4 linked regions of the Drosophila melanogaster genome follow. The protein of the gene in region 4 interacts with the protein of the main gene of each other region in a pairwise test. Each region holds a gene or a part of one and is shown on either strand. Other genes may lie near its edges.

What was found.
Region 1: the proteins of CG13096 (region 4) and Snm1 interact in a two-hybrid assay, tested with the Drosophila melanogaster proteins (one large-scale study listed by BioGRID).
Region 2: the proteins of CG13096 (region 4) and Rassf interact in a two-hybrid assay, tested with the Drosophila melanogaster proteins (one large-scale study listed by BioGRID).
Region 3: the proteins of CG13096 (region 4) and Efa6 interact in a two-hybrid assay, tested with the Drosophila melanogaster proteins (one large-scale study listed by BioGRID).

What each region holds. Positions count from the first base shown.
Region 1 is NT_033777.3:5,551,836-5,559,473, reverse strand, and holds Snm1 (Snm1), read right to left. Parts: upstream 4,391-7,638; 5' UTR 4,340-4,390; coding exon 3,273-4,339; intron 3,216-3,272; coding exon 2,762-3,215; intron 2,705-2,761; coding exon 1,934-2,704; 3' UTR 1,688-1,933; downstream 1-1,687. Other genes in the region: Pi4KIIalpha (phosphatidylinositol 4-kinase II alpha), read left to right, coding at 1-95, 155-975, 1,039-1,107, 1,173-1,176; Pcmt (Protein-L-isoaspartate (D-aspartate) O-methyltransferase), read left to right, coding at 5,291-5,345, 5,407-5,543, 5,799-6,203, 6,429-6,512.
Region 2 is NT_033777.3:23,111,703-23,120,291, forward strand, and holds Rassf (Ras association family member), read right to left. Parts: upstream 6,230-8,589; 5' UTR 5,837-6,229; coding exon 5,797-5,836; intron 5,723-5,796; coding exon 5,628-5,722; intron 5,562-5,627; coding exon 5,379-5,561; intron 5,313-5,378; coding exon 5,124-5,312; intron 5,071-5,123; coding exon 3,650-5,070; intron 3,589-3,649; coding exon 3,262-3,588; intron 3,202-3,261; coding exon 3,097-3,201; intron 3,032-3,096; coding exon 2,971-3,031; 3' UTR 2,312-2,970; downstream 1-2,311. Other genes in the region: Cow (carrier of wingless), read right to left, coding at 505-642; CenB1A (centaurin beta 1A), read left to right, coding at 7,087-7,139, 8,565-8,589.
Region 3 is NT_033777.3:22,584,853-22,592,040, forward strand, and holds the start of Efa6 (exchange factor for Arf 6), read left to right. Parts: upstream 1-2,902; 5' UTR 2,903-3,428; coding exon 3,429-3,566; intron 3,567-7,188. Other genes in the region: CG6937 (uncharacterized protein), read left to right, coding at 11-106, 174-518, 582-1,211; btn (buttonless), read right to left, coding at 1,297-1,773. UniProt on the Drosophila melanogaster protein: Guanine nucleotide exchange factor for Arf6. Regulates axon growth and branching by inhibiting microtubule polymerisation at the cortex. Together with shot, promotes axonal microtubule bundle integrity.
Region 4 is NT_033779.5:8,506,854-8,514,577, forward strand, and holds CG13096 (uncharacterized protein), read right to left. Parts: upstream 5,014-7,724; 5' UTR 4,916-5,013; coding exon 3,674-4,915; intron 3,326-3,673; coding exon 2,522-3,325; 3' UTR 2,216-2,521; downstream 1-2,215. Other genes in the region: CG13097 (uncharacterized protein), read right to left, coding at 5,740-5,886, 5,993-7,724.

The sequences.
Region 1 (7,638 bases), on a different chromosome or scaffold from region 4:
ACGCACGCATTGATCGACAGAAGGCCAAGCTGAAGAAGCGCATTAAAGAGCACTATCCGTCGGCTCACTTCAACCGAATGAGCCTTCCTCTAAAGGTGAACTCGTCTCCAAAAACAAACCGATTGGGTATTAACCAAGTCAAAATTCCTTGCAGACTGGCTCCTTTCAGCTCTTCGTGGAGGGTTACAAGGATGCGGACTATTGGCTGCGGCGCTTTGAAAGCGAACCCTTGCCGCCTTCAGTGGCGAAGTCGTTCCAACTGCAGTTCGAGCGCCTCGTCGTGCTCGATTATATCATACGCAACACGGACCGTGGCAACGACAACTGGCTGATCAAGTACGTGGCCCCTAAGATCACGACCCAGGTGGGAGGCACTGGCGGCAGAACTATGCACGGAGTTGTGACCCCCAAATTGCCCAATGCGTTGGGGGCTTCAAAAATCGTTGACCTAAACGAGCCGCCGCAGGCTAGCCCGAAACCGACTACTGGTGGTCGCCCTTCGAACCACCTAGCGGGTGGAGCAGCCACAAGTGCACAGCAAGATAGCAGCAGTTTGGCCAGCAGCGAAGATGAACCCTCGTCGAGATCCCCCCCTACGTCGGAACCCGATTGGAATGTGGTGAACTCGGCCTTCATTCGGATCGCTGCCATCGACAATGGTCTCGCTTTTCCCTTCAAGCATCCGGACTCTTGGCGAGCTTATCCCTACCATTGGGCCTGGTTGCCACAGGCGAAAATTCCGTTTAGCGAAGAAATCAAGGAGCAGGTGCTGCCGCAGTTGTCAGATATGAACTTTGTAGAGGAGATCTGCACGGAGTTGTTGTACCTCTTCCAGCAGGATCGCGGCTTTGACAAGCGTCTCTTCGAGCGCCAGATGTCGGTGATGCGGGGCCAGATTCTAAATCTCACACAGGCACTGAGGGATGGCAAGTCGCCGGTGCAACTGGTCCAGATGCCAGCGGTGATTGTCGAGCGGTAAGTATCATACTTTCATGACTCCGGATTATAGGAGGCCAATAATGGTTTCTAACATTTCAGATCAAGTGGCAGTCGTTTCTTCTCTTTTACGCAGCGCTTCCAAAATAAGAGCCCTTTCTTCTCTTGGTGGTAGGTTGCCGATTCATTGGTACTTCGTCGCATTGTCACTTACTAGCCACTTACTTCACTTTTAGCTAAATGACCATGGAGCAGCCCCTGCCGACCCCACCAAAAATCAAATCGAGCAGCCGGTTACTACAGTCTCATCTTTTTCATCATGTATATGCGCTTAGTTGTTGTCTAGTATACTTCCAAATCGTAATCACGGAGCACGGAGCCTAGAAATGTATTTTTTGCCAAAAAACTCAAATGGTCATATTCAATAATTAATTACTTGTATTACTAGTTTCTGGGATGACTTACCCATACCATGGTTACATATTTAGGAAATATCTTATGTTTGTCAAGTGCTTGTATAGTCAATTGTTTTCGCATAAAGTATGCAGAAATCAGAAGGAGATCATTTTAAAGCACTCGCTCAAGTGGTTTATACATTTCTTTATTATTTGAATGAAATCATAATGCATATAGGTGAAAAATACAAAGCTCATTTACATTCGTTAGCACTTGAGTTAAGGTCGCCCATTGTTATTAGCATTAGCACATATTTAATGGTTTCCTTTCCTCCAAACTAAAACTCAATTTATTTCATTATGTACGGTTCGCAACTAAATAGTGTGGGAATATATATATATATCAACCAAAATACATATGTAAAGTATTTAAAAGGCAAGCCTTATATAAAAGATATTAAAACATTATAAAAGTTTAACAGAAACTAAAGCCCTTTTCGAACATAAGTATGTATATACCTTATTATTTCATAACAAAATATCTTAAAACTACTAGCAGCCATACTTAAATCCAAAGGACTTTTTTATCCGAAATTTAATCACTACAGGAGCCAATCGTCTGATGCATCGGATGTCAGTCTACTAACCACGACTGCCTGGCTTTTCTGGACACCAATAACATTGCAATCCGTACTTTGAAATGTATCTTCCGTTGGGACACGAGGTATGAGGACTGCATCAGGTGCGATAGTTTCGTTTTTAATGTCTATTTCAACATATGGAATTTCGGATTCCATCGCATTGAGTTGTGCAACTATTTCAGAATTCGGTGACGTGTCCGGTGCCAGAGGCTCGTTTTTAACTGGTATCTTGGAATCAGTTTGAAAACACTCTTCCGGAGTGTCGGATATAATAGTTACATGATTCGTTGGCACCACGGACTCCCGGTCATCGTCTTTCTTATCTTCACTCCCTTTGGAAGCATTCTCATCCACGGGGCTCAAGAACATTTCAGTATCTGCACTGAATTTTGCAAAAGCTCGCTTCGGCGTAGCTAGGAAAGTGGATATCGAAGGCTGAAACCCAGTACGCAGCATAGATGCCCGACCTTCGTACTTGTACCACCGTATGGGCACCTCTCCAGTGACATAGAGATCGCGGCCCACGGGAACGGTGCTTATGACTCGCTTTGGCTTGAGGAAGCGAACAAAGCGCTCCAACTCCTTGTAGCTGGAGTGTTCTGAGTACTCAATGCCGATCGTGCTAATTCGCTTGCCGTACGAAGGCTTTGAGTTCTTTTCCCAACCGCTGGGCCTTATGCCCAGCAACATGTCATATTGGTCCTCGAATTCAGTAAAGTAATCGACTAGGCTCTGAAACAAAATAATATCGCTAACTAAAAAATTGATATATTTTAGAAATACACTTACCGGATAGCTGATTTTTCCCATTGCAATGACGTGCAAGTTTGCTCCGCTGCGATCTTCTGTTAGCACGGAGTCTAGATCCGGCCAATTCAGGCATCTTACTGCAGTGCTGCGATTGCTTTCCGTCCAAACCCTCATTGTGAACTCCTTCGCTAAGGCCAACCATATCTTCTCCTTTCCTATCACGTAGGAGCCGCAGACGATAAGGATTCGTTTGGCTGCATTTTTCTCTAGGAAGGCGCGCACCAGATCCACCGCTCGGTCAACGCTCTCGCTTTGGTGGCAGAAGTCGTAGTTTTTGTTCATATACGTTGTGTCCAGATAAAGCAGGTCGATGTTTGAATGGTTCCAGAAGATTGGTAGGGATTCCATGTCCGCGCTAGCTCGGAAGTCCCCGGTGTGCAGTATGCATTCGCCAGAGCTCAGTTTGAAGAAGAACATGAGTGCTCCAGGACAGCTGAAAGGTGAGAAATAGCAGTTTGGTAAGCTGCCAAAAAAAAGCGACTGCTCTTACTGGTTAGCTTCTAAGGCGGTTACTTGGACGCCATCTACGTCCAGGGTCTGGTCCACATCAATTTCGTGAATGTGCGTTTCATCGAGTTTAATAAACGTTCGCACCAAGCGCGCTGAAATAGGACTCACGTAGAGGGGATGGCAGAACTTTTTAGTCAGGCCGATGTAGTGATCCGCATGAAAGTGCGTGAGAAAGTAATGTGTGACTCCCTCTATTTCCCCAAACTGAAAGCCGTCGACGCAGAAGGATGTACCCTCCACTACTTTATAGGGCGGACAAGGCTTTGGTTTTCTTTGTTTGCGTACAGTTCCTTTTTTAGAGTTTTTGCCCAGGGGGCTTTCCTTTGTGATTGCAGCCGGCGATGACCGGTAAAAGTTATTCGTTGGGGATTTGTTGGGACCGGGGGAGATTTCCACTAGGTCTAGGCTGGAATTGCTTAGCTTGGCTTCTGGCATGGAAGTCTCTGGAGTTCTAAACTTGGTTGCTTGGACATCGCTGCTTTTTTCACAGGGAGAGGCTATCGCGGATGGCTTTCTTTTTATGGTCTGCTCGTCCTCGGAGCACAGGTCAATTACGTGCACTTCGGAGAGGCTAGCGTTCTCCTTGCCTTTCGCACGGCGACTAGGCTGCACTCGCTTCTCTGACGGCTTTGCATCCAGCTTGCCCGTAAAGGCAGATGAGGTTGTTGTAGACTCCTCGAAGAGGCGCTTGCGCCCTTTGGTAGATACCTTTCGCTTGTCCAACGGAGGATCCACCTTCCTGCAAGAGGAACTTGACTTGACTTTGTAGTTCTTGACGGCACTTGTAAAAAAGCTATCGATGCGCATTTGTCCTGGCAGCGGAGTCTTCTTGCTGGAACGCTTGAACGCAGTGCTGGCTATGATTGGACATGCTTCCGTCTTTGGTCGGACCTTTTTTGTCGTGGAAGCCGCACGAGTTCTTCCCGCTCTTTTCTTGTCCGGCGTTCTGTTCTCGATCGTGGGCGTTGGGTCCGGTTCTACATTTACTCGTACTGTGGCCTGCAGATCCGCAATGGATCTTATCTTTATTTTCCCTACATTGGACATCCTGTTTACATATAACAAATAGGGCCAGGATCGCACGGTTCGATTGCCAGAGAAACCGCTTTTATCATATCGACAGGCGATAAAGCACAAGGTCATACTAAAATCAAGCGCTTAATTTAAATTGCCGCCATATCTCTCAAGCAAAAATTAAGTATATATAATCTTTTTAACGATTTTCGGGAAAGGATTAGGAATATGGCAGGGACCACGATTAAATGCAATTCATTGCTTAAACGCAGCCATACCATTGGGAGACCAAATAAACTTCCACAGCAGCCGATATGCCGACAGACTTAGCGCCCACCCGAACACGTTGGCGAATGATCTTGTCGACCTTATTTCCCTCCGACGTCTGAAGAGAATACAATAATCTCTCCACGGTACATATGTGTACACTATAATTAAGGAACAGAATCCATAATATCTTTTAAGCTACACATTAGGTTAAGTTCAGAAGGAACTGAACGATTCCTAATGCATAATAATAAATGATTTAAACTTAAAAAAAAAAAGTTTAAAAAAATATATGTATATATATTTTATATAATTTTAATATAATATTACCTGCACAGCAGTGACAGCACGGGTTTAGATGTTTTACATATCCATGTACATAGCAGCATGTTCACTTTTAGTTATTAAAGTTCGACCAGTGATATTTTTATTGAACTGAAAATGTTATGCAACTATCGATATTATATATATTCAACAGATATTATTTCAATATAAATTCAACAGAGGAGTTAAACTTATTAGATGCAGGACATACGACCCAAAACTCAGTTGATGTATGAGTACTGCTTGAATGTGTCGATTGCTTGTCAGTGTTATCGTTGGCCTGCCACCTCTGGTACAATATTATAACAAACTAAACAAAACAACAAGACGGTGGAAAAAGGGAATCTTGTGGTGCGGATTGGTAAACTGGGCTTCTTCTTCCGCGCCTTCAGCATGGCGTGGCGATCCGTGGGAGCCAATAATGAAGACCTGATTCGCCAACTGAAGGGTGAGCCCTTGAATTCGCTCCGTTTAATGGGCCGAGTTAATAATAGAACCGAATCCCCAAGATCACGGCGTCATTGCAAGTGATGCGGTGGCCCAGGCGATGAAGGAAACCGACCGCAAGCACTACTCTCCGCGCAACCCCTACATGGACGCCCCGCAACCCATTGGAGGAGGTGTCACCATCAGTGCTCCTCACATGGTAACTCCTAGCCAGGACATTGAAAAACAAATAGTTTGCTCGCCATGTTTGCTGTGGGAGTCAATGCCCACACTCAAGATGCTTTTAGGAGGCAGCATAAAAAAGTAGCTTTCTTTAATCCACTAAAAACATATCAATGGCTCATCATTTGAAGACTAGTTCTTCACTCCCGTAGCTTCTTCCCATCATATTCTTATAATTTCTGAAAGTAAAGTGTCTTTTTAAACTGGAGATTAATACATTTTTCTTTCCCAGCATGCCTTCGCCTTGGAGTATCTACGCGACCACTTGAAGCCCGGTGCACGTATACTGGATGTGGGCTCTGGATCTGGCTACCTCACAGCCTGCTTCTATCGTTACATCAAGGCTAAGGGCGTTGATGCGGACACCCGAATCGTGGGCATAGAGCACCAGGCAGAGCTGGTGCGGCGGAGCAAGGCCAACTTAAACACCGACGACCGTAGCATGCTGGACTCCGGCCAGTTGCTGATCGTCGAGGGTGACGGCCGCAAGGGATACCCCCCGAACGCCCCGTATAATGCAATCCATGTAGGAGCAGCTGCTCCCGACACACCCACCGAACTCATCAACCAACTGGCCAGCGGCGGACGCCTGATAGTTCCAGTCGGTCCCGACGGCGGGTCTCAGTACATGCAACAGGTGGGCAGATGCTGATTCGTATAACTGCTGGAATAATATGTATATGTAATAATAATAATATATATATATATAATAATATACATAATAATATATATATATAATAATATACATAATAATATATATATATCATAATATACATAATAATATATAATAATATACATAATAATATATAATAATATACATAATAATATATAATAATATATAATAATATAACCATTTTTACAGTACGACAAGGACGCCAATGGGAAGGTGGAGATGACACGTCTCATGGGCGTAATGTACGTCCCTCTCACGGATCTTCGCTCCTGACTGCACAGAGTGGGAAGGTCGCTCGTTGCGGTGCTGCTGCTCGTGTTTTTTCTCTACCTAATTTTGGCTTACTAGTTAATCAATCAATCAAAATTAAATTGCTTTTTTTCACGTTGAGTGCAAATATATAAGTTTACCGAACAAACGCTGTCTTTTCGTTTTTTTGTTTAAAGTTACCAAGCAGCTTCAACATTTCATATTACATTAATGAAATCATAATTTTTTTATGTCCGTAGTGAGATAAATTTTAACTACACCTTTAAGAATTTTTCCCCGATTTACAGATTTAGTTTTAATAGTGATGAAGAATAGGATAATTGTTAAATATTCGTGCTTAATATTATTAATTAAATACTTATACTTCGAATGGTTAAGTTTTAAATAGTTGACTGGCTTTGTTTCATCAAACCAGCTCACCATCATAGACATTTATAAATTGAGATCCAACAAGTGAACTATAGATGTCCGGAACGTAAAATATAATTTAATCAGTCACAATTTAATCAAGTGCTAAAACACCAAAAGTGTCCCTAAAACATTCAGGAACAGCATTACCATTTATTTAATCAGGATGTTTTAAAAAAATTACGTTTATACCCGTTATTCGTAGAGTAAATAAGTAGACTATAAGTAGATTCTTCGAAAAGTAGAAAACAGGCAGAAGGAAGCGTTTTCGACCATATAAAGTATATATATTATTGATCAGGATCAATAGCCGAGTCGATCTGGTCATGTCCGTCTGTCCGTATGAACGGGATCTTAGGAACTATAAGAGCTAGAAGATTAAGATTCAGCATTCTAGAGACATCGACACAGCGCAAGTTTGTTGACCTATGTTGGCACGCCCACAAACCGCACAAAAATGTCACGCCCACAATTTTGAAAAATGTGTTAATAATTTTAAGCAAAAATACAGTTTCTCTAGATTTTTTGCCACGCCCACTCTAACTCCCTTCAACCGCCCAAAACTGCTACGGCCACATTCAAGCAAATTTTTCTCAATTTTATTAGACGTTCAAATTTCTATCGATATGAAAAAAACTTTTTGCCACTCCCACTCTAACACCCTAAAGACACCAAGTCACGCCCACACTTTTGAACAATTTTTATAATGATGAATAATGAT
Region 2 (8,589 bases), on a different chromosome or scaffold from region 4:
GACAAAAAGTTGGGCAAATAAAAGCGCAATTGCGTTATATATGTCCTCGAACACATCGAAAAAAATGGCCTTTTTTCTGCTCATAATATCTATGATTTCATCCATTTAAGGCGATCAGATTTAATTGTAAACAATTAAAATTAACCAATTGGTATTTAAGCAGTGTTGTTGATTCACATTTTTCTATATTGATTCAGAAAATGGTGCAATATTCGTCACGAGGTATGATAGTCCTTTAAAATATCTAATATCAGTTGACATCAAGATGGAATTGATGAGTTTTTCTCGGTGCATTCCGCACACTTGCGCCTCGGAGCTTTGGCAAATGTCAGCAGTCAGCTTAAGGCGTATTAAGTAGGAGACAGACAGGAAGAGTGGCAAACTGGGAGGCGGAGACGAATCCGAGACTCAGACGGGGAATCCGAGTCGTTGCGAAGCGGAGACAGTGAATGAATGGGGGCCTGGATGTATGGCTGGATAGCCGTAAAGCCATTTGGAACTTACCTCATCGATAAACTCGAAATCGCCGCCCGTCTCGCCGACGTACTTCTTCTTGTTTCTGGCCTCGGTGCTGCCAATCAGGCTGGATGACATCAACACCAGCGCCAGACAAGCGCTGGCAATCAGCGGCGAGTGCTTCATGATCGACGTCCGGGAACGGGAACAGGAACAGGAGATGTCAGCGGTGGCTACGGAGGAAGTGCTTCAAGCGATGCGCCCTGTTGACGGGTTCCGCTCTCGCTAGTCCAAATCGCTGGTGCGATGTCCTGTGGAAAACTACAGACGCCTCCGGTTTTACGCACTCACGCACACTCACTGCCGCTGCTATCCACGCACACACAATCTTACGCAGCAACTATGCTAAGCTATGAATGACAATGAGTTGGCTCTGGGATCCAGTTTCTGTTTCTGTTTTAGAATCTGTTTCTGTGTTTGCTCTTGCAATAGCAGGCGCCTCCGCGGATGAAGTGCAGCCTGGTCACGAAACACTGGGGAACTGAAGGCGACGCGGCCGAAACGTAAACTGAGCGCCTACGAAGACGAGCTGCTAAGTGACAGCCACCATTGGAATTTTGCGACACCAGTTCCGAGGCCTAAGAGCGCGAAAGGATGCGCTAAGAGAGTCACTGGAATGCCTGGACACCAGCAGGGTTGTCACATCGCATTTGGCGAGTGAATCATTTGAATTATGTTTCAAAATAGTTTAGAATCAAAATCTTAACACATATTAAATATTAGCTTTCATATTTTTAAGCACTTTAAAGTCATGTTAACTAAACGAAAGTATCTGTAAGTAAATTGTGTACTTCCACTTCTATGACCTTTTTTCCAGTGTAACCCACTGCGTATGCGCAATGTGTCCTCGCTCTCACATAGCCACCACCCCCTTGCCGTTGGCGCAACAACTGCCAGGCCCTTCCAGAATGCCACCACCAACAAGGCGAATAGCGACTAGAAATGGCTTAAAATCGATTTTTGTGGACTCTCTTAGGGCCGCCAACATGGCCAGAGCTCTGGAATGCGGATTCGCAATGCTCTTAGGCGATAATTGCTGGAGCCAAGGCAGCGGGTCGTGAACCTGCCACTGGCGCCCAATGCGACTTCGCATCCCAAATGGACTTGAGTCTTCTTCTTTTTTTGCCGAGTGTCGCTGGCTGTTGATTTTTATGTATTGGCGCTTGGCACACTTGGACCAGGCCAGCGCGGCTGCTGTTGGCCGGGAAACCCCAAAACCATTTAACGCGTCAGCATCAGCATCGGATCGTCTCAAAGGCTGGCCAACGCTGGCACGGTCCTGTAGTTGTTGCGGAGTCCCAACCACGTTGTAGCCGGAATGGAGACCCGTAGGCTCTGTCAGTTTCAAATTAATAGCCACGCACACACACTCACTCTGTGCCGCTGTGGGGTGTGCATTTATTATGTGAGTGAGCCAGTGCTTGCCTACTTTCGTCCTCGTCGCTATTTCCGCGCTGCTCCTCCGTCGTTTCTCTATTATAATGGCATCATTGACTTGTGCTTTGATGGCTGCTTTGGCCAGGACAGGGCATCGGTTTGCCCCCACCCTAGTGTGTGTATGTGTGTGTGTGTGTGTGGGGGGGGGGCTAGAGGTCCACCTCCACTTGATCCCCATTTGGGCACGGACGGCTGGCGCCGGTTGCTGCCTTTTTTGAATATTCGGCTCACACTTTCTGCTACTGCTGCCGCCTTTAGGTTCGCCCCTTTGCACTAGGGACGCGTTACTTGCCGGAATTTGTTGGCGACCATGGGGCCTTAAACTCCGCTTGGCTGGTCACCGAAAGAGGCGGCGATTCTGTTGTAAAATTTTCATTTTATTGGATTTCCAAATGATTTTCAATCAACAAGTCCATGTTATGCAATATGAAGTATGTGCACAGTTATTCTTATTGTTTCGCAGGCATTGCGATTTCTAATCAAATTGATTTTCACACATTTGTTCAATGACTCGATAAAATGGCTTTCAACTACACGCTACTAGCAGGACCTGTGCTTCATGTCACGGCTTAAAAGCTAAACATTGTACAATAGATACATGAATGACAACGCTTTTAACGTGACTGCATAAAGCACATACATTGATTATTAACATAAAACAAAAAACTGTATGGTAATGTTGTGGATTAATAATTATTTTTTGGTTAGTTACAAGTCTTAAACGCTTTCTAAACGAATGGAAATGCCTGGAATTGATTGTTAGTTTCGGCTGGGAAGAATCGAACCCTAAACGTAATGTATGTATATGTATTTTGCGACGAGCAGCAGCTGCTTTTTGTTCACTGGGCGCCTAATGTTTGCTAGTTCGTAATTTTCTCTAGATTCTACATAAAAATATATATCTCGTATAAAAACGTGAATACTATTAGCTGTGCTGCTGCCGACACTTCTTTTTTGGCCGCATTCATGTTATGGCTAATAAAAAATTGCTCTTATGCCAGAGGTTTCATTTACGTTTTACAAATGCACTTTCAGAGATTCCATGCGACTGACAATACGACGTCGCAATTCGGCGTATCTGCGGAAAAGTAATTCTCTTTCAATGCAAAGTCTTGGGATGTAAAATTATTTTTTAAAACCCACCTTTCCTTTATTTTGGCCACTTCGCGGGCCAGTTCCTGGTCGTAGCGCTCCAGAATAGCACGGCACTCGGGCAAAGATAAATTCAAAAATTGAGCAACTTCATTACTGCAGCGATGCAAAAGAAACGTAAGCAAACTTCTATTGAAAAGGAGTGTTATAACTTGCCTGATTTCATCAGTTTTGCGAGAATCCACTAAAAATATACGAGCCACATCCTCATGAGGTCCCAAAGTGACGCGCGTTATCAAAGGATATTCGTCGTCCTTGAGACGTTTCTGTTCACCATTGTCGCGAACAATGAAGAGTGAAAAATTGCCAGGCGAACTGTCCACCTTGTATTTCTCCAGCACCAAGTTGATAACCTCAGTGGTGGTCACCATCGAGGAGACCCACACTGACATTTGAGAACCGTAGGGCGGCGTGAAAAACGACGTCTCCCGATTGTAGTAGTGACCATTGATAGAGCACCGACGTTTCAGCTTGGTACGAGAACTATTGATTAAGAAGTTGGAATTACAACACAATTTCTTCATTAAAAGTTTCAGTAACTTACCGACGATTGCCACTTCGTCGCTTGATGGCAGAAGCTCCTGTGCGTGGAGGTCTTCTCAGCACAACTCCATCTTCCGTCACATGCAACCCAGCCGATCCATCTCCGTCTGGACCATCAACGCCCTCGCTTGCAGTGTACAAATCCTCGGTTTGCGTAAGCTCATCGCCGGCCGCTGCACCACTGGTTATGGATGGAGCATCTGCCCGACTTGACTCACCTTCGCTAGCAGCAGCCACATTCTCTTTGGGATAACAGTCCATCTGGATTTGTATGTACCGCTGAGGTATGTCGCTGCGTCGAATGGTGGCCATACGTTGGGGACGCAGCGTGGCCTCGTCGTCGTCATCGCTGTCGGAGTACACAAAACAGCTGGGTCCCGATTTGGAGCGGTTGATGCCCTTTTCGAACAACTGCCGCCCCTGTTGATATGGCTTCTTTTGATCCCTGCTGGTTACTGTGGCCGATCCACTCTTTTGTAAGGCGTACTGACGCTGTGCGGAGTGAGGAGAGCCCACACTACTGCGCAGATTCATGGTGTCGTTGATTAAAGTGGGATCTATTGACCGCAATGCATGCTCACAATTAAAGCTTTTGCTCATCGCTGAATTCTCGCCGTAGAGCTTAAGGGAGTCGTGAATGCGAGAGGGATCAATTGGTTGATTACGCTTAAGGGTGCCCTCATTGGGCTCCGTAAAGGAGTTGGCCCCATTTACATAGTCCTGGTGGACACTACGCTTAAAGTCCTCGAAATCAATAGGCTTCAGGGTAGCGTCATCGCAAGTCTCGAAGTTATCCAGAGAGGTCTCAGTAGTAGACACCGTTGTTGTATTCTGCGTATTGGTGTTGGCAGTCAACGATCCCGTGGCGGTCATAAAATCATCCGTGCTGCTGGTGTTTGTTGATGCCGATTGAGTCGAGCTTGATTCAGTGGTCGTAGTGGTCTCTGTGGATGTTTTGCTGGGCGAACTGTCGCTGGAGGATTGCGACGACGGCAGTTTGACAGGCATAGTTTCATAAATGCGATCCTTGTCGTTGTGACGTCTCTCTACCTGCAGCAGATCGTCTATGTCGTCCCAATCCAGTTTTTCCAGACGGTCCAACTTCGAAGGCAATGTGCTGGACACACAACTTGTGCTGGCAGTAGGAGCCTCCACCAGGGTTCCAGATGAGTCCGTCGTGGTCGTATCCTCGTCGTCGTTGCACACATTACCATTGGTCTGCTCTTTGCTGTTGGCTGTGGTGTTGGCCGAGGCATCTTCTGGGGTTGTGGGCAACTCGGAGATCTCGTTCAGGCTACAGGAGTCGAAGGTCATGCTCTCGGAAAGGGAAACATCCGTGGATAGTTGATCGACCTCGGCTGTGGTGGTGGTGGGCGGAGCCAGCGATTCGCTAGCTTCGTTTTCCTTATCCGAACTGCTTTCCTGTGGGTACAATTGTATAAATAACGTTTTGTTATGTTATAGATTCAGCTTACATTGGCAGCCTTGGACACACGGCAAGAGTTCCTTTTGCGCACTAAGATGCGCTGATCATCGTCCTCCTTGAGATGAATCACTCCCTGCACGCCCCAGTAAACTCTAAGCGCGCCTTCCAGCACCAACCGGTTGTTGACCTCACGACTACGTATCTCCAGGCTTTTGTTGTCGTAGAATTGGTTGTAGACCTGCCCATTAAAAGGGAATTTGGTGAGTCATGAGATATTGATATGTCTGGGTATTGCGTTCTGCACCTTAAGTTTGGACTCCAGGTGATCACGTGGGAGTGGCGGGCCATTGGCCTGAGCTCCGGTTGGCTTCTGGGCTCCCTTCACCCCATAGCTTTTGTGCGATTCCACCCGGGTGCCGTGGCCAAACAACTGGGGTCCAAACAGGGCGCCATAGCAGGGCACATGGCAGTAGGGCACACTTTTGTGCTGAAAGGAAAACAAAAGGCTTTATATAGATCACATGATCGGCTAACTAACAGGTGATCCTCCTACCTCAGCATGCTGGCCGGGATTTAAGCGTTTGCCGCATTCCTCGCAGCGCAAACATTCCGGATGCCAATCGTAGCCGATCGATTGTTTACGTTCCGCTGTGCGGGGCATAAATAAATATAATTTACAAGTTATTTACGGATCGCAATGCGCTCGTGTGTGGGTGCATTACCGAAGTAAACGGGTTTGCCGCACTTGTGGCACTTCCACATTCTGGATTCCAAACAGGTCGGTCTAATGCTTCCTCCGGGAATGGGCGTGTTTCACTCCTCCTCCTCTACTTCGCCGATTTTAAAGAGTTGTGACGTAAAGCCGTCGAGTTGTATGCAAATGAGGCGATTTAAAGCGGACACGAAACGCAAATAGAACGCTGGACAAGGGGTAAACACATGAGGCGAGGGGGGACGTGAGACTCTGATCGGTCAGTCGGTCAGCTGCGCTGGTTGCCGTGCGAAACTCATAGTTTTATAAATGAAACTGGCACTGGGCACTCCCACACTTGGTGCACGGTGCAGGTGCATCGGTTTTCGGTGCGTACTTGTGTGGATAATTGCACTTAAACCAAAACAGCACCAGCAGAAAGAGAACAGAACAATGAAATGAAAAATGGCACTTGTGCAGCACTGGCCGCGGATTCTTGTCGCACAAGGCGGGCACCCTAAAATCCAGCGGTGCTGTCAGCTGATCTGTTTTGTAGCTAGATTTGACTTGGCTGGCGGTAGCTTGAAACGGATTTGCTTGTTTTGGTGTTTAAAATTGTCATCGTTTGTACTTTAAATACATCTACATTGATTATGGCTAGAACCCAAATCTTTTTTGGGCTGTATCTTCTTTTAGGGAATTTAAGTTCCTAATTAGCTTCTTCTTAGCTACAAAAGTTTCCAACACTGATAAACCGTGCTGACAATGTCAATGTGCGTTGTTTTATGCCTTTGAATTGAAATCTTCGTAACTAATCGAGTTTTAAAACGAAAATCAGCACAAGGAAAACACTAAGCATTCAATACATTTAAAATTTTAAAAGATATGAGCAAAAGCAAATAAGCCCGCCAAAGTGTGTGACCATTCGCGCTGCTAGATTTGTTTTCGCTGCGAGTGCGGGCACACCGATCTGCTCTAGTAGAAAGTGAGACGTTTTAATTTGTTGTCTCTGCGCGCTGTGTAAATTTGGTAAATTCGGCCCCGAATCGCGTAAATTGGCGAGTTTCGCTAATTAGGGCCAGTGCTCAACGTGTGTAGCCGTCGATTGCCAAGGATGCGACTAATCACCATATCTCCTGCTGCCCGCAATTAGCTTCTCCCAGAGCCGCCCTCGAAAATCGCGCATCGAAATCCCCACTTCAGCAAGGAAAGCAAAGCAAAGCAGAGCAGCAGCAACAGGCCAACAAAGATTCACGGGCCTCAATTAGCGTAGCGAAATAGCCAGCAGTGCAGTCTAGGTGCTGCTTGCGTGGTGGCCAAAATGCGCGCCACCATCGAGTTCGAGGAGTGCCTGAAGGATTCTCCCAGATTCAGGTGCATATAAGCTGCAGCCCCGCCCCCACTGTGTGCCCATCCTGAGCCGCATTTGGCGTGAGATTCGAATTGCTCCATGTAGCGTGACTGGTTACTATCCAAAACCAGATACAGCCCAACACCGCCCCACCTGCTCCACCTGAAAACGCGGCTTAATCATCCATCGAACAAACTTTGTCCCGTCAGCAGTGTGGAATGTGCCTGCCTGCCCCTTTATTTCCGCAATTAAATTGCCGATGCTCTCGTCTCCGTCCGCGAACGCTTCAATGCCCGCCGCTGATTGATAAGATTTCACCCAAATTGCCGCTTCTCCACTAATCGTGTCCAAAGACAAAAGCTTTCCCTCGTAAAACGGTGCACAAACGCGGCGATAACTTGTTTGCCCAGCAGCCCCATCACATCTTCCCCACTTTTTCGCACCTGCAGCAGCTTCACTTGAAAGAAAACAGGAAATCAAGACTATCTTGGATTCTCCTGCACTTCGGTTCTTTTATCATTTGTGGAAGTGCCAACTTGACCTTGGTGTTTCGAAACCGAAGTACACTACAATAAATTATGTGAATCATATGTGAACTTTTCTGCCATGCATATAAAAAATAAGAAATCTAAGGATCTGTAAAGTAGGACATTTCTATTGCTTCAGAACTAGGCAGATATTATCGCAACCATAGTAAAATGTATCAATGTTATGCATTTTTTTAAACTAGCTTAAACTAGTTTCCAGTTTTAAGTAGAATTAAACGATTTATTTTTTATCAAAAACTTCAACTCATTGTGCATTTGGCTCAATCGTTTGAATGACGAACACATATTTGAAGATATATGAAGCTTTCGAAAGCCATTAGTTTAAAATGAAAACTGTGTATGATAGCAATATTATCACGGAATACGACTTTTCAAAGCCACTCTCAGAATGAATTGACTGCTGAAATAGACAGACCTCCATTCGAAATTACCATGTAGCTAGCCTCTGGAACGAGTACGTCCAAGAAAATAAACACAAAGTTAAAACAAAAGCAATGCCCGACAAATCGATGGATGACACAGGGGAAAAAGACGAGAAAAACCCGAAGAAGACGCAACAGAGTGATACAAAAACTTGTCCCCAGAGATGGGGTATCCTCCTCCTTCTTCACTTGGTGGCGACTCGTGTTCAATTGGAAGAGCAAACAGCGCTTTAATAAGTCCGCATAAATTAAAAGTGTCAACATAAACAGAGGCAGAGTGAGAGCGTCGGATCATCCGCTGCCCCCGCGATAACTTCTTTGATTAAGCTGGTTGATTATGTTTACTCTGCTCAGCCAGTCAAAGACGATTTTAATCACCAGCTCACTCGCAAGCCGATGCCCATCTTTTGTTTACATCTCGACGATATTGTGCTAACGTTTTCGATTTGTTTTTTTTTTTGTGCTTCTCGCCCCGCAGACAATTTGTTTCCAAGGAGGAGAGC
Region 3 (7,188 bases), on a different chromosome or scaffold from region 4:
ACTAATTAAAATGCCGCCTGTTAAGAAGCCCAAGGCGCAGAAGATCGAGAAGCAAAGCACGCCCAAAAAGCCCATCGATGCAGCCAAGAATGTGGTTTCCGGACAGGTGAGCGGCTACCAAAAACAAATGCTCCTCCGTTGGGTTGGATAACCGTAAACTGCGTCCATTTTAGCTAAAGAAAAAGGTGACCAAGGCCAGGCCGCAGAAGCCAAAGGGTCCAGAACGCGGCGTGGTCATTGTGAAGCACCTGCCTCACGGATTCTTCGAGCAGCAGCTGCGCCAGTACTTCCGACAGTTCGGTCGGGTGCTGCGCGTCCGTTTGGCCCGTTCGCTGCGCACCGGTAACAGCAAGGGCTACGCCTTCGTGGAGTTCGAGTACCCGGAGGTGGCCAAGGTGGCTGCCGACACCATGGACAACTACCTGATGTTCCAGAAGGTGGTGAAGGCCACCTACATTCCACCAGAGAAGCAGACACTCAACTTCTTCAGGACTTCCTTGAAGAAGGTTGTCAATAAGGTGCGTTCAAAGGGAAATACATCTAATGTCCGTTTGTTATTCATAGTTGTACTTCACTTGCAGGCCGGCAAGGAAATCTATGTCTCGGATTTAACCAAAGCCACACAGCGCAGCGTGAAAAAGCAGAATAACTGGGATGAGTCCGCCTGCCAGAAGCGCACCGTGGCCAATCTCAACAAGATCAAGAAGCTGCAGGAGAAGTACAAGGATCTGGGCATCGACTTCTCCAACTTACTGGTGGAACCAGTAAAGAAAGCAGCAGGCTCCGCTGAGGCATCTACAAGCCAGGCAGCCGCCAAGAAAGCCGGTAAGAAACAAAAAACGGCCGCGAAGAAAGAACCAACGCTGGAGGATTTGCTGGGCAACACCATCAACGAGGACTCCGATGATGAGGACTACGTTGATGCATCCGATGATGAGTCCGATCTGGAGGCTGAGGAGGAGCAAGCGGACAGTGAGCAGACCAGCGATGACAGCGACGAAGAGGAGGATTTATCACCGCCGCCCAAGCAGAAAAAGACTAAGCTGGCTGATAAACTGAAACGCAAGCCCGGCACTGGTGGTGTGCAGAAGAAGAAAATAGCTCCGCCGGCTAAGAGCAACAAGAATGCCGCCACCCAGAAGTTGCAGCTGGCCGCAGCCAAGTCGCTGGCCAAACCCTTGCCCAAGGGAAAGGCCAAGAAATCCAAGTAGTAGCTTAAAATACATTTACTATAGTTGTTAAGTAAGCGAAAACATTTTGTAAGATGAATTGTGTTAAAATATGTCCTTGTACAAACTAAAATGGCGTTTTGGCCGAGCTGCCTTGCTGCTCCTCCAGTTTGATGCGCTTGCACTTCATGCGTCGATTTTGGAACCACACCTTCACCTGGCGTTCGGTCAGCTCCAGCGCCACTGCGATTTCGTAGCGACGCAAGCGAGTCAAATAGTTGGAATAGCAGAACTCCGCTTCCAGCTGCTTGAGCTGCGTTTTTGAAAATGCTGTGCGTTCCTTGCGATTCGAGCTGATTGCCCGGAGTTTGGACCTTTGGCTTGGAAGTTCTTGACCAGTAGGTGCCTCATTTTGTAACCATTGATCGTTCGCTTCGTTGCACCAATTAGTTTCTAGTTTATTGTAATCCGCGTAGGAAGAAGACGCACTGTGGTCATATACATAGCTGCAGTCCGTATAGCCCTCCGTTTGGTTCAGCCACGATTTCGTAATATCCTCGTAGCAATAGGATTCTTGGTAGACGTTCGCGTGGGAGTTCTTCATTGCCGATGTCTTTGCTTCTAGGTCTAAACTATTACTGAAATCTCAGATTCGGCGGAGCTGCTTTTTAAACAAGGCGCAGAGTGTGCCAGGCCAATCTGCTTTTTCACTTAGTCGCAAATGATGTGCTGCTGATATGATAATTGTGCGCAACATCTGGACCTCGGGTATGAGTGGTTATGACACCCGCAGATCGGCTTGTTGTCTTTGCCTACGAACTGTTGTCACAACAAACCCGAATCCGATTCCCAGCCCCTTCCCCAGGCGTCCGGTCAGAAACGGAAGTGGACGCATGAGTCAAGTGCTTTGTGCCACCAACTGCGGAGCTATAAAATTTTAATAGACAACCGTCGGCGAGTCGTAAGACCCAGTCGGAGATTTATCTGAAAGTCGCAATTGCACGCGCTTTTAAAGTCGATGCGGCGGATTACGAGTGACCATTGAGTGTATATTCCTAGATAATCCATGACAAAGTGGAGTTTTATATAATAATTAATGGGGAAATAAGTGCGTGTCACAGAAATGGTTAAGGGATAAAATAGTTCAATAAAATAAGTCTTACGGGGGTTTTAGAAATTAGAAAAGAAATCAAAAAATTTTGATATCCTATTATGAAACCAATTATAAAATGGACACAGCAAAAACGTAAATTCTAGCTTCTGCTTATTTTTCTTGGGGCTTAGGTATACCCTTTTTTATTTGAGTTTTTATTAAATAATATACCGGTATATGAAAATTAACCGGTTCCGGTTTTAAATTATCCGCATTTATTTTCAAACTGAATAAGTGTTGGGTAATCTTTTTTGGTTAAGGCATAGGCACATTTCAAGTGTTGCCAGACTATGACATTCCAAAGGGCATTCAGTGATATCTGTTGTCCTTCGCTGTGTAGTTATTGTTTGGCTAGATTTATTCATATATTTCTTTTAATTTTCCTTTGTCAGCTAATAAATCTCATTTAATCTAGAAAAAGTATACAAGAGGTTTAAATATATCTATCGATAGAAATGAAGCAACGGTAGAAATACTTTCCGATATCTATCGATATATTAATACTTTTATGCTTCCCATCCCCAGTGCAATAGTACAATTTACAATTTACAATCATTTAGTACAATCTGCGATATCTGGGCATCCACATTCGCCAAAATATGTGCGGCTAAAACCCCCCGCGAACCGCTAAGCGGCGGCGAAACAGTCGGACAAAAGCGACATAAAGAAACGAAGCGAGAAGCAGACGGGCGAATTAAACAAGTTTCGTTTGCGTGGAACGCAGAATTGCGTGGAAAGAAAGCCAACGAAGTAGAAGAAGAAGCAGCGCAGCAAATGCAATAATGTTTAATGTTTAAACAAATTCGCCAAGGAGTTTCATTCTTTTTTTCAAATCGTCATCCGTGAGTGCGTGTATGAGTGTTTGTGAGCGTGTGTGTTTGTGTGCATGTTGTGAAGTGGAAAGAGTGAAAACAAAATGAGAGTGTGCAAATGAAGTTGGCCAAGCCCAAAACAGCGAGAATTAATTAAAGCGACTAAGAAAAGTGGCCGTCGCCCAAAGGATTAATCACGCCCAGGGGTTACCCACCCACACCGCCAACCAACCAAACGAAAACTCGGTGAAAAGAGTGTGAACCGATCGGCAGCAGGACGCCGAAGGACCCAAAATGAGCGAGGAACTGAAAGTGGTGCTGCGGCGCAGCGAGCAGCATTCCGGTTTCGGGTTTTCGCTACTCGGAACCACCGGACCGCCACATGTCATCTACGACATCGTCGAGAATTCGCCGGCAGCCGATTGCGGAGCGGTAAGTGAAGCAAACACAACAGCACACCGCAGTTGCAGCTCCTCTGCGCCTTTGTGTGTGCTGTGTGTCATTCCATTCCCGTCTGGGACAGGAGGACTGGCGGAGTCCTCACACCGAGCGGCCCATGCCACCCCCTCATATCCACCCACCGGTGACCTCCGACCACCTCTACCAATGACTTCATCAACCACCGGGCACTGGAAGCAGCCAGCGAAGAAGCAGAAGCAACAGCTCCCTTGCTGGGCTCACTTTTGGCAACGCCACATTTTAGACTACAGTAGAGCCTCGACAAGGCACACCGCCCAATAGCGGAATTTATTAAAGATCATTAAATGGAAATACGTAGCTGGCAAAATTGACAAAATTCATAGAAATCATGCCAGTTTCTAGTTAAGATTGCTGTTCTGCAATACTCATTTTTCCCTGGAATTTTGTGCTTTTCAGGGAATATTAAGGAGATTTTAGAGAATTGACAAAAAATTGACAATTGACAAAATTCATAGAAATCATGCCAGTTTCTAGTTAAGATTGCTGTTCTGCAATACGCATTTTTCCCTGGAATTTTGTGCTTTTCAGGGAATTTTAAGGAGATTTTAGAGAAGTGCAATAACAAATTGTGTGATTTCAGCACCGTTTTAAAATTTTTGAAGGATTTGTATACCGTCCAACTGCCGTTACATAAGCATTCAAACGGAAAACAAATTATTCATGACGTTTTATCTGACGCAAAGTGCATACGTACATATGTATGTATGTATGTACATACATAGATAAGTACGATTTTTTATGGCAGCTGGTGGCTTGAGTTTTGGAAGTTGGATTGTGTGCAAAGCGACCGAGACTCGCCCCTCGGCTGCTGATAAGAATATTTTCCACTTTTCCACTTCTTTTTTTTATGGTGATGACCATGGCTGTCTGCTGGCGTATGTGAAAGCATTTCAATTTGCACAACGGCAACAAAAAAAAAGCGAAAAAAGCGAGAAAAGCGCAAATGAGAGTCCTCCGTTGGCGTGTCATCATTGTTTGCCGCTCGTGATGTCATCGTTGCTTTAATTGATGGGTGGAAGGGCGCTGGAAGGGGGCGAGGGGCGGGTAGTCTCACACAAAAGCCAGTGTATCAATTTTCAGGCTTGTTTTGCTTTTATTTACTATTTACTGTCATCGCATCGCATCTCGAATGTTTAGAGCCGAGTGCAAAAGAAAACAAAGCGTGTAAATATAGCGAACAAAATAAGGCAAATAATTTGTCTTTCTTTTCAATAAAATGCTGATATGTTTACTGTTCGATTGTTTTTGCTGTGTAAAGATCAATTTATTGTCAATTTAATCGAATCGGAATTCTCATGATATAACCAGCAGAAAGCGTTTTGTTCATTTTAAAAATATCTACATATATTGTAATATCAGAGACTCGGAAAGTATTATAGAATTTCTCTTGAAAAAGCCCATCCGCACCATTTATCTTATCTAAGTAAATTTAGTATACAATTCATAGAGAATAGTCACCTTTTGGTAGCTATTACCAATCTGGATTTCTCAGAATGGGATTCTTCGATGAACGCACCCAGCGGATATTGGATAAGAATGGACTTTACGTGGGGCCCATTTCAATTGTTATTAATTTCCCCATGCAACTGCGATTCGAAAGAGTTGCAACGCAAAGTTAACAAATCGACAGAATGCAAATGCAGCGCTATAAAAAGCAATGCAAAGACAACAATTTATAAATAAACTTACTCAGGCCGATGCTAACACACACATAAAGCCTCCGACTTACTTTGTAATTATCGGACGTGGCAACAAAAAAAAAAAAATAATAATAAAATAAAACGATTTACACGAAAACCCAAACAGAATTCTCCAGCTTTGGTTGTTAAATTTATGCGCCCGACCACCAAAACACAAAAAACCACAAAAACTTGGTCTCGAACAAACAAAACAACAGAAAACAAATCGAAATGCGTGAAAGCAGAGTGCAAAAAAACGCGTTGGGAATTTTAAATTGTTGAGATTATTAAGTAATTCCACACAAGCCACACAGGTATGATGGAAAGCAACACAATTGCATCGCGGTAATTTTCTTGAGGCAACGAACTGACATCGACATATGGACATGTATCTATATATATACATAATACATATGTATATGTGTGTGTGTGTTGATGTGGATGCAGCGGCACGCACTTTTTCAATTTCTTATCGCTTTCGCTTACAACTTGTTGTTATTTTTGTTGCCCGGCTTGTTTTGGGGCTGTTTGACTTGTCTTCTATCTACATACATGTGTATCTATGCACACACTGCTTATAAAGTGGGTGCTCCAGAGTATCTTGGCACCTAGGGTGTTTAAAAACAATATTTATAATTTTCAATTCAATTGATTTGATATTTATGAGCCGAGCTATAACAGAAAAATATCATATTGAGTTCCTAAGAAATTGTATTATTTAGGGTATCGGTTACGCTCCACGTTGCCTTATAAACGTTATATACAGAATTTTTCTGCCTCATTTTTAAACTTAGCACCTTCAACTGTAAATAACTCTCATTTACAAAGCATACCATCTGTAATTAGTTGCTTTTTCAAGACCGCACCCTGTAAGACATAAAAACTAATGAGTAACCAATGCGTCGGCTCCTCGAATGCAATTAATTTTACTTTTTATATGCCGTCATTCTGGTTGCGGTACAATTTTATTTTTCAATGAATGCACAAACACATGCACACACGCTCTTCTCAACTGGGTGTGTACAAATTGTGTGTATGTATGTATGTTGCATGTGTGTGTGTACGCTGTCGTCGGTTGTCTTTTGTCGCCTTCGCTTTTCCATTTCCCATTTTCTTTGCCTGGCTTTTCTTTAGCTAAGTTCCCTGCCTCTTCGCAGTTGCTGCTCTCTGTTTGTTGTCATTTCTGAATGCATTTACCGCACGTTTGTTTATTTTCCCACTTCTTCAGATACATCAAGTATACTCCACACACTCGCCAGACGACAAAAGTATCTGCGTTCCGAGGTGGCTGAGTGGCAAATTGTATTGCATTAATTGCGCTAAAGCAGTTACGCCTTTAAATCTAGTCGATTTATATAAATGTCTATGCGCACTAGATAGATTCTACATTAAAACCCATTTATAAATATCTTATTGTGCTTTTTCAAAACTTTAGCCATATGATATATCTATTTAAAAACAAACATTGAATGCTTGGGCGAAACTCCATGCCAAACACTCATGATCAAATAGCAAATACACAACTAGTTGTTGATGTTTTTCGAAATTATTTATATTCGTTTAGTCATTAATCTTTTGGGTTGCCAAGTGATTTGCTCTCTCCTCGCTCGCCACTCAAAATTACTTTTTTGCCCAGCTGTTCGAGGAAAAGAATTTAATACTTCACTTCTTTTTGTTTTTAGGGCAAACATAAAATCGCAAACGGGACAAAATAAAATACAAAACCTTTAGAACATCAGTTGTGTATACCTCCATGGCATTTTAGGTTGCCTGTTTTTTTTGCGCCTCCTGCGAAATTTGTAGCTTCTTTTGTTCTCGACTGGCGTTGTTGCAAAATTCTAACGTTATGCTTAATTACTCGTTAACTGGAAATGACAAACGACTTTTCGCCGTTG
Region 4 (7,724 bases):
CAGCCAAGGAGACCGCGATTTATACGAGTCCAGGATACGAAAGATTTCAACGCGTTCAGGTGGCACCCGAGTGGAAACTCCGAAGTTCGGTCCACGTCCTCGGGTCCGCCCACGACGTGATACTTGCTGCTTTTGGGCCGATTTCAATGGGGATTGTGCGCAGTCATGGGATGGTCGTTGGGTGCTGGCCAACTGGTCGTATACGCAACACGTGGCAAAAGGGCAACAGCAACACGGCAACACACAGTTGGCTACGTTCTGCATCAGTTTATTAATCATCTATTACGCACAATTATCGAAGCGTTTATCGAGCCATTGTCCATCGATCATGACTATCAGCATTGGATTAATCAGCATCTGATAGTTTTCAATTAGTGCCCGCGGATGCGGCAGCTGTCAGCCATCAAATCCAATATAAATCCCCCCCAATATTCCAGATTATTAATAACTTTACGTGCATTATCTCATAATTGGCAGTACATCAGCTATCTCATCGTTCTGCGAAGCAACTCTGACTAATCAGTTGAGAGATTACCATCACAATTATTCGGTTATTTTCGCATGCTCACAATTAGTCGTCCCTAAAAGCCATATATCGTAATGAGATAAGAGACACCATATTGATAAGGAAGTTATATCATTGGCTATATCCGGACTGACTGATGTAAATTGAATGGTTGCTGTTGATATTTGATTATGGCAATCCTAAATAGTAAATAAAGGTTATGTTGCCTACAAAAATATGTTCCATATTCAATAATGGCCACTTCATTGACTTGTGATTATATGATATTTTAAAACTTAGTATAGACCAGTTGTCTAAAATATTATATTCAATATTCAAATTTGCAATCATAAAATATTTTTCAAATTACCACAGACCAATGTGAATTGGAATCCATTAATGTTAAGGAAAGTATCATTTTATAGAGCATTTTCATTGAATTATTTTGACAATTAGTGCTAACGAATTGCAAGTTCTTTTTGTTTTCTAACTCAGCTTAATATACCTTAATCCATGTAAATCCTTTCAGTGACCCACATTTTTTCAGAAGCTAATTCATGTGTACCAAAAGGTTGGCTAGCGGAAATGGGGAAATGCCAAATGCGTATGTAGGGAATCCTAACCGCCCATATCCACATGGAAGTATGCATGTTTATCTGGACAAATACATATATATGGATTTTATGGCAGGCACAGAGAACGCGGCTAATGATAATTTGGGCTGATAAAAGCTTTACAATGTTTTTGTTGCTTCCGACGACGTGTCCGGCTTGGTATTTGGTTTTTGCCATACTTATTCGGCGGTTACCATGAACGTGATTCTAATCTCTGGAGCAGCGACCTTGCCCATGTAAAAAAGCCGCTCAATGGATCTCGCACGATGGAATTGGACAAGACAGCTGGACATATGAACATTCTACTGTCAAAGTTCCGGCGAGTCATGTTAATTAAGAGAAATTATGCAAGCGAATTGCTACTTTTGGTCAACCTACTCATAATACATAATTCGTCAAAGGCGAGACATCAAAGAAATTGCATTTTGCTGTACTCCCACTGGATAGATGGTTCGGAAATGAGGAGTTTTACGAAAAAAATATATATAAAATATATATGCATATAAATCAGTTATTATGAAAATTGAAATTGACTTTGTTGTGTGTACACGTTGCAACTTCCCGCTGAGCAAAGACCGTTGCCATAATGCATATTAGGATTTTATGACCTCAAAGGATGCCACGAAGGGTTGTTGGCATCCACTTTGAGCCGCGATATGTCAACTGGAATTTGCGCCATTTTCCGCGAGCTGGCAATCTGGAAAAGGCATTCAAAATCGGCGACCATAAGGTAAAATGTACATGCTTGATTTCATAGAATGCAGATATGCGTTATGGGTGAATATTCATGGAAATCGATAGCATGCCATTGGGCAATAAGCGATTTTAAATGCGAAATTTGCATACTATAACAACTGCATATGCACAATTGCATAATATATTTTATTTTAATCCTATTTCAATAATGTAATATACAAAGTGCGAGTATGAATTTCCCCAGAATATTAATAATTTTTGATTGTCATGGCAATTAAGTAACATATATGCCTACACAACCATCATGGCGGATAAGTAATATTACATTTGCTTGAATGACAAAAAAATTGGCATTGAGTGATTAAAAAGAGAGAATGAATTAAAGAAAAACAATATATTTGTAGTAGTATAGGAATTTATTGAATTACATCATATGTGGAGCTGATTCTTGATTCTTGTAATGCAGATCCCGCCCAGGGTTCACAACAAAGATCCCAGTGTTCATAGCCAAAAAGAGTCCCGAGCCGCAACCGCGATCGAATGAATGTTACTAAATGAGCGGTTATTAAAAGAGATAAGTTTCCATACTTAAAACATTCGTTTATTATCTAAAACTGTTATAAAAATTGCAAACGGAATTATAGCAAGATTGTTATGCATATATAGAAATACCCTATAATTAACAATGAGCAATGAGACTGACGTATTACTCTTCATCGTCATCATCATCATCGTCTTCCTCGTCATCGTCTTCCTCATCGTCGTCCTCGTCCTCATCGTCATCACCATCTTCATTATCGTCATCGTCATCTTCATCTTCATCTTCATCAGTATCATCGCCATCATGTCCCTCCTCATCCTCATCGCCACTTTCGCCAGCACTGTCCTCTGCCTCCTCAACTTCCTCCTCCTCATCGGATTCTGCATCAGCCTTTGCGCCTTCGCTGCTGGACTCCTTGCGAGCTTTTTTCGCGGGCACTGCTGCGTCCCCGCCATCATTGTCCTTTGGAGCGGCATCAGCAGCCAGCAGTGCAGCCTTCTCTTTGCGCAACTGGGCCTTGCGCTTGACCTGGTCGCTGGTGAGCTTAATGAACTCCGCATCCTTGGTCATGGCAAATTTGGACAGCACCTCATTGGCCTGCTTCTTAAGCTTGAGCATACGCTGCTCGCGAGGACCCACAACATATGGTACATCCTCCGGTGGTGCACACATGCTGACATATAGTGGCAGCGCACTGGTTCCCGTGATATCGATCTTGAGGTACATCGAACGAATGTTGGCCAGTCCACCCGGATAGACTTCCTGGAGCTGCTTGATCACCAGCAGAATGTTCTCAGCCAACTGCTCGGCGGTGATTTCGTGGTTGCCCACCGGAACGGCAATTAGATCTCCCTTTGACAACTGCCTGAATGCGGTGCGGGTGAGGGCGCGGGTCACCTCCTGTGGCAGCTTATCGTTGTCCTTGCTCAGACGCAGTGAGTGGAGCACGTTGCGGGGCTTCTGGGTGTTCTACAAATGGATAAGGCAGTGGTATTGCAAATTTAGAAAATAGTTAATAAATTCTATTAAAGTTCTTCCTAGATTTCTATAAAATCCGCGTAATTCATATGGCTGAATAAAAATACAGTCTCCCGATTTGAAAAATGTTTTACAATTTGGAAGAGAATAACATTTAATATGGCTGGATTAATCTCATTTCATCATAAAACATTGCGAAGGATACCCTGATTCAGAATATATATGAATACCTTAAAAAAATACATACGAATGTTCGCGACCTTCCCACAAGATCTATTTGCGGACAAAAGAAAGATTTGTCTTCCTGGAACCCACTCATTAGCAGGCAGAATTTCTTACCTTGCCCAAAAAGGCAGTAGCCTGTCCTGACAAACGACCGTCGCACAACAGGTAGTCGTAGCTGTTGAGGAACTTGCGCTTGGCCTCAAAGGAACCCATCTCGTTGCGCAGCTGGTTGAATGGAACGACGGTTAGGCGCTGTTTCACACCAGCCTCTCGCAACATATCCTCGTAGTGTTGCTTGGTGGGATCATAGTCAAACTTGGCTCCACGCTGCAAATCTGGCACGATGAGAGCCACATCGTCGTCCTTGCCCACCAACGAATGCTTCAGATTCAACTTGACCATGCGCTTTGGGCAGCTGGGGATCTTGTAGCTGCAAACTTGCAAAACATAGCGGTAATCAGAGAAGATCGAGGTGTTCTTCTTCTTTTCCACCTCCTCGGAGACAACAGACTTCAATGCCGCGCACACCTTCGTCACATTATTTTCATTGACAATCTCGTGGAACCGTTTCTCGTCAAAGGCCTTCAATTCGAAGGTCAGCTCAACTGGTTTTTTAGACTTGGCAGGCTCTTTGTTGACAGCGTTGCCTTTGGCCTGACCAGGCTTGGACTTGCTGAGGGCCTTCTTGGATTTGGGTGGACTGGCAGGCTTAGACAGCTTTTGCACCGCCTTTGCCTTCTTTTGGAGCTGCGAAGCGGGCTGAGCCTTTGCTGGTTTAGCTGGTGCTGCTTGTTTTTCGGTTTTCGCAGTCTTTTTCGTTAGTGCAGCAGTTTGTCCTGACTTTTTAGCTGCAGGAACCTTCTTAATAGAAGGTACGGGATCTTGCACAGACTTCTTTGCTGGTGCTGGCTCTTTTTTGGCTTTCACAGGAGCAGCTTTAGTCTTTTTCTCTTGCTTTTTCGGTGGCACAGGGGATTCTGGAGGAGCCAAAATCAAAGGTTTTTTGGCTTCGATCTTTTTGCCGACCGGAGCCCCAGAAGCGGCCGGCTTTGCCTTAGACTTCTTCGCCGCTGGTGCGGGGGCAGCCGGCGACTCAGGAGGAGCCAAAATTAGTGGGCGCTTGGCCGCTTTTGACTGCTTCTTCTCGGCTCCCTTCTTGGACACCTCCGGCTCCTTCTTGATGGCATCTTTTTTCACCGGAGCCGCGTTCTTTGCCTTTTTGTTGCTGGCCAACTCCAGAGTAGCGTCTGTGGCCAGTTTCTTGGTCTTTTCCGGTTTACCCTTTTTCTTAACCACGCCCTCGATGCTGGCGCTCTTGTTCAGCGACTTGGGCTGCGGTTTCTGTACTTTAACCATATTATTTTTTGCTTTTTTGACAGATGCGTAAAAACTCGAGCAAAACTATATTTAAAATGCACCACAACCACACGTGCTACGCTTTAATATCGATATGTTCAGAATCGCAAAACGTAGCTACAGTCGATATCGGGAACTATTTTCATTACCGATGTCTCAGGCACGGTCACAACTTTAGCCAATACACACCCCCTTCGCAGGGCCGAGCACCAATAGCAGCTGTTTCACCAAAACCGATTGGAAAATTGACCGTTATAGCATATCGATTTCGATTTGTATCCCATCTCTATTTCTCCCTTAGAAGATAAAATTAAATTTTTTAATTTTGTAATGTAATATAGAAATTATGATGATGATTATATGATTGAGTATTTCTACTCTAATCCAACAAAAAAACAAGTGGCTACGTTACTTGCTTTGCTTTCTTTAATTAGGGTACTATTTACATAGCAAACAGTTATTTTAAGTAAATAATTCTAAGAATAGTCAAATTCCGCAAGCTGCACGCGTGCCTAATCGCCTCAACAGGACACAGAATGTCCTTGACTCACACGCCGCCACACACAAAGCGCCCACGCATCACATACACATACGATGGATCCGCGCACATGGAACATTAAAAGTACCGACACATGGCATCTCCCATGGAGCACCAAATTGGGGACTCCCCAGACACACAGTACATGCTAAAGATATTCTTGCAACAAGGATTGCTATGTGGGCATACGTGTGTGCTTGTGACAACTTTCTGGCACGTGACTGGAGACGAGAAAACTTTGCTGGCTTAAGGCAATTACAATATGAAGGAGTCCTAGCGTGTACGTTTAAAGCTTCAGCTTCTTGGCATCCGCCTTGGCGGTATCCTTTTTCGGTCGCTTTTTGGATGCTGTAGCCGCTGCGGTATCCTGCAGTTTGTGGAAGAAAGCCTTTGAGGACTTCAGAGCTCCCTGGTCGTTGCTGCTGGCATTGATCTGCAAGAAAATCGTTTAAAGTTTGATTCATTTAGAATTCAAAATCGCTCAAGAATAGCAATTAAATACAAAACATAAAACAGAGATAAACTAAAATGTTATATACCTTTTGAACATTGCGATTCTTGGTGATTGTCTTGAGCAGCTTGGCATCCGCTTCCTTCTTTGTGGGCGCCTTGCCCTCCTTGGCTCGCTGAAGCTCGCGCTGCTCCAGAGCCGAGTGGATGGCCCGCTGCTTTTGCTTCTTTTTGCGGCGCTCGCGGTTCTTATCCGTTCGATCGCGTTCGGTCTTGCCAAGTGGAGCGTGCTTGGGTCCGCGGAACACCTCCTCGGGTGCCAGCAGCTTGGCATCGCTCACCGCCAGCGGGGCCACCTCTTCCATGTGAACTGCTGGTGTGTTCGTTACGATCTTGATCTCCGGCGCCACCGGTTTCGGCGTGAAGTGGAAATTGGAGAGGGCGTCCAATTTAAGGAATAGGGAACGCATTGCCCGCTTGATTTCTTGGTGTTCTTTCGGTTCCGGACCAGTTTTGTCATCGGCATCGCGATTGGGATCGAGTTTTTCCATTTCGCGCTGATACTGCGCCTCGTAGATCTGCGACAGCGATTGTTTTGATTTCTCCTGGTCAAGCACAAGTTGTTTTCTGTACTCTTGCGGGGTGTTCACCGGTCGCACAGTGCGCTCCACATCGTCCCATGCTTTGTCGCGAATACGCTGCTTAATTATGTCCTCGATGGAGCGGTTATCCTCTTCCGTGATTGGCGCCGTTGGCCTGGTGGTCGAATCGAAGTCGAGAATCTCCTCAAGCAGTGAGTTCTGGGGCCGATTGGCTGCCTTTACTTCGCCTTTGAGCTGCCAAGGCTTCTCGCCTAGGACAATGTCTTCGTAGTCGCGGATGCGTTGAAACAAACGAGCCTCTCTCATCTCATTGGATGATTGGGACGGTGGCTCTGTGGGTTGTGGCTCCTCCTCTTCTTTCTCCGAATCCGAGTCTGAATCGCTGGCAGGTTCTATGCCACTTTTTGCCACGAATTCGGATTCATCTATTTCGCTGGCCGCCTCATCTGGATCTTGATCATTTTCAGGTTCATCATCGCCCTCGTCTCCTTCGCTTTGATCAGAATCGCCCTCTTTGGGATTTGCATCCTCATCCGGTTCATTTTCATTTTCACTCTCGTTTTCATTGAAGAAATCTTTCTGCTTGCCTTTGTTAATCTTTTTAGAATGCTCTGTCAGTTCCTCATTCATGTCAAAGAAGTCCGCATAGTTGACATTCCCCTCCTCATCGTCCTCCTCATCTTCGCCAAGACCAAAATCCTCTGCGAAATGATCTATATCATCGGCCTGCTCAACGCGTTTCTTGCTGTTCAGGCGGCGCATCTCCTTGGCATCCTCCTGCTCCAGGAACTCATTCATCTCTTCCAACTTGAAGAAGGTATCGTCCACCACAGAGTTGCGTAGTCGCTTGTTTCGTTTGTCTTTCGGCGGCGCGGTCTTCTGCTTTTGTAGCCCTCCATCCTCGTCGCTGAAGTCTGATTCCTCATCTTGTTCCTCATCGCCTGAGTCTTCAGCTTGTATTACTTCGTCTTCTTCCTCTATTTCTTCACCATCGTCCAGTTCAATGCCCAGGTGCTGCTCGCGCATCGCCGTCAGCCTGGCGGTTTGCTCCAGCACCTGTTGGAACACTAGTTCGTTGCGAATCTCCAGTTGCTGCCAGATCTGCTCCTCGTCCATTTGCTCCAGCACCAATTCCGGCAGCAGTTCCTTCTTGTTCGCCACATCCTCGCTGATGCTAACGGCGTATGTCTGCTGGATAAGCTGCTCGATGGCATTCACT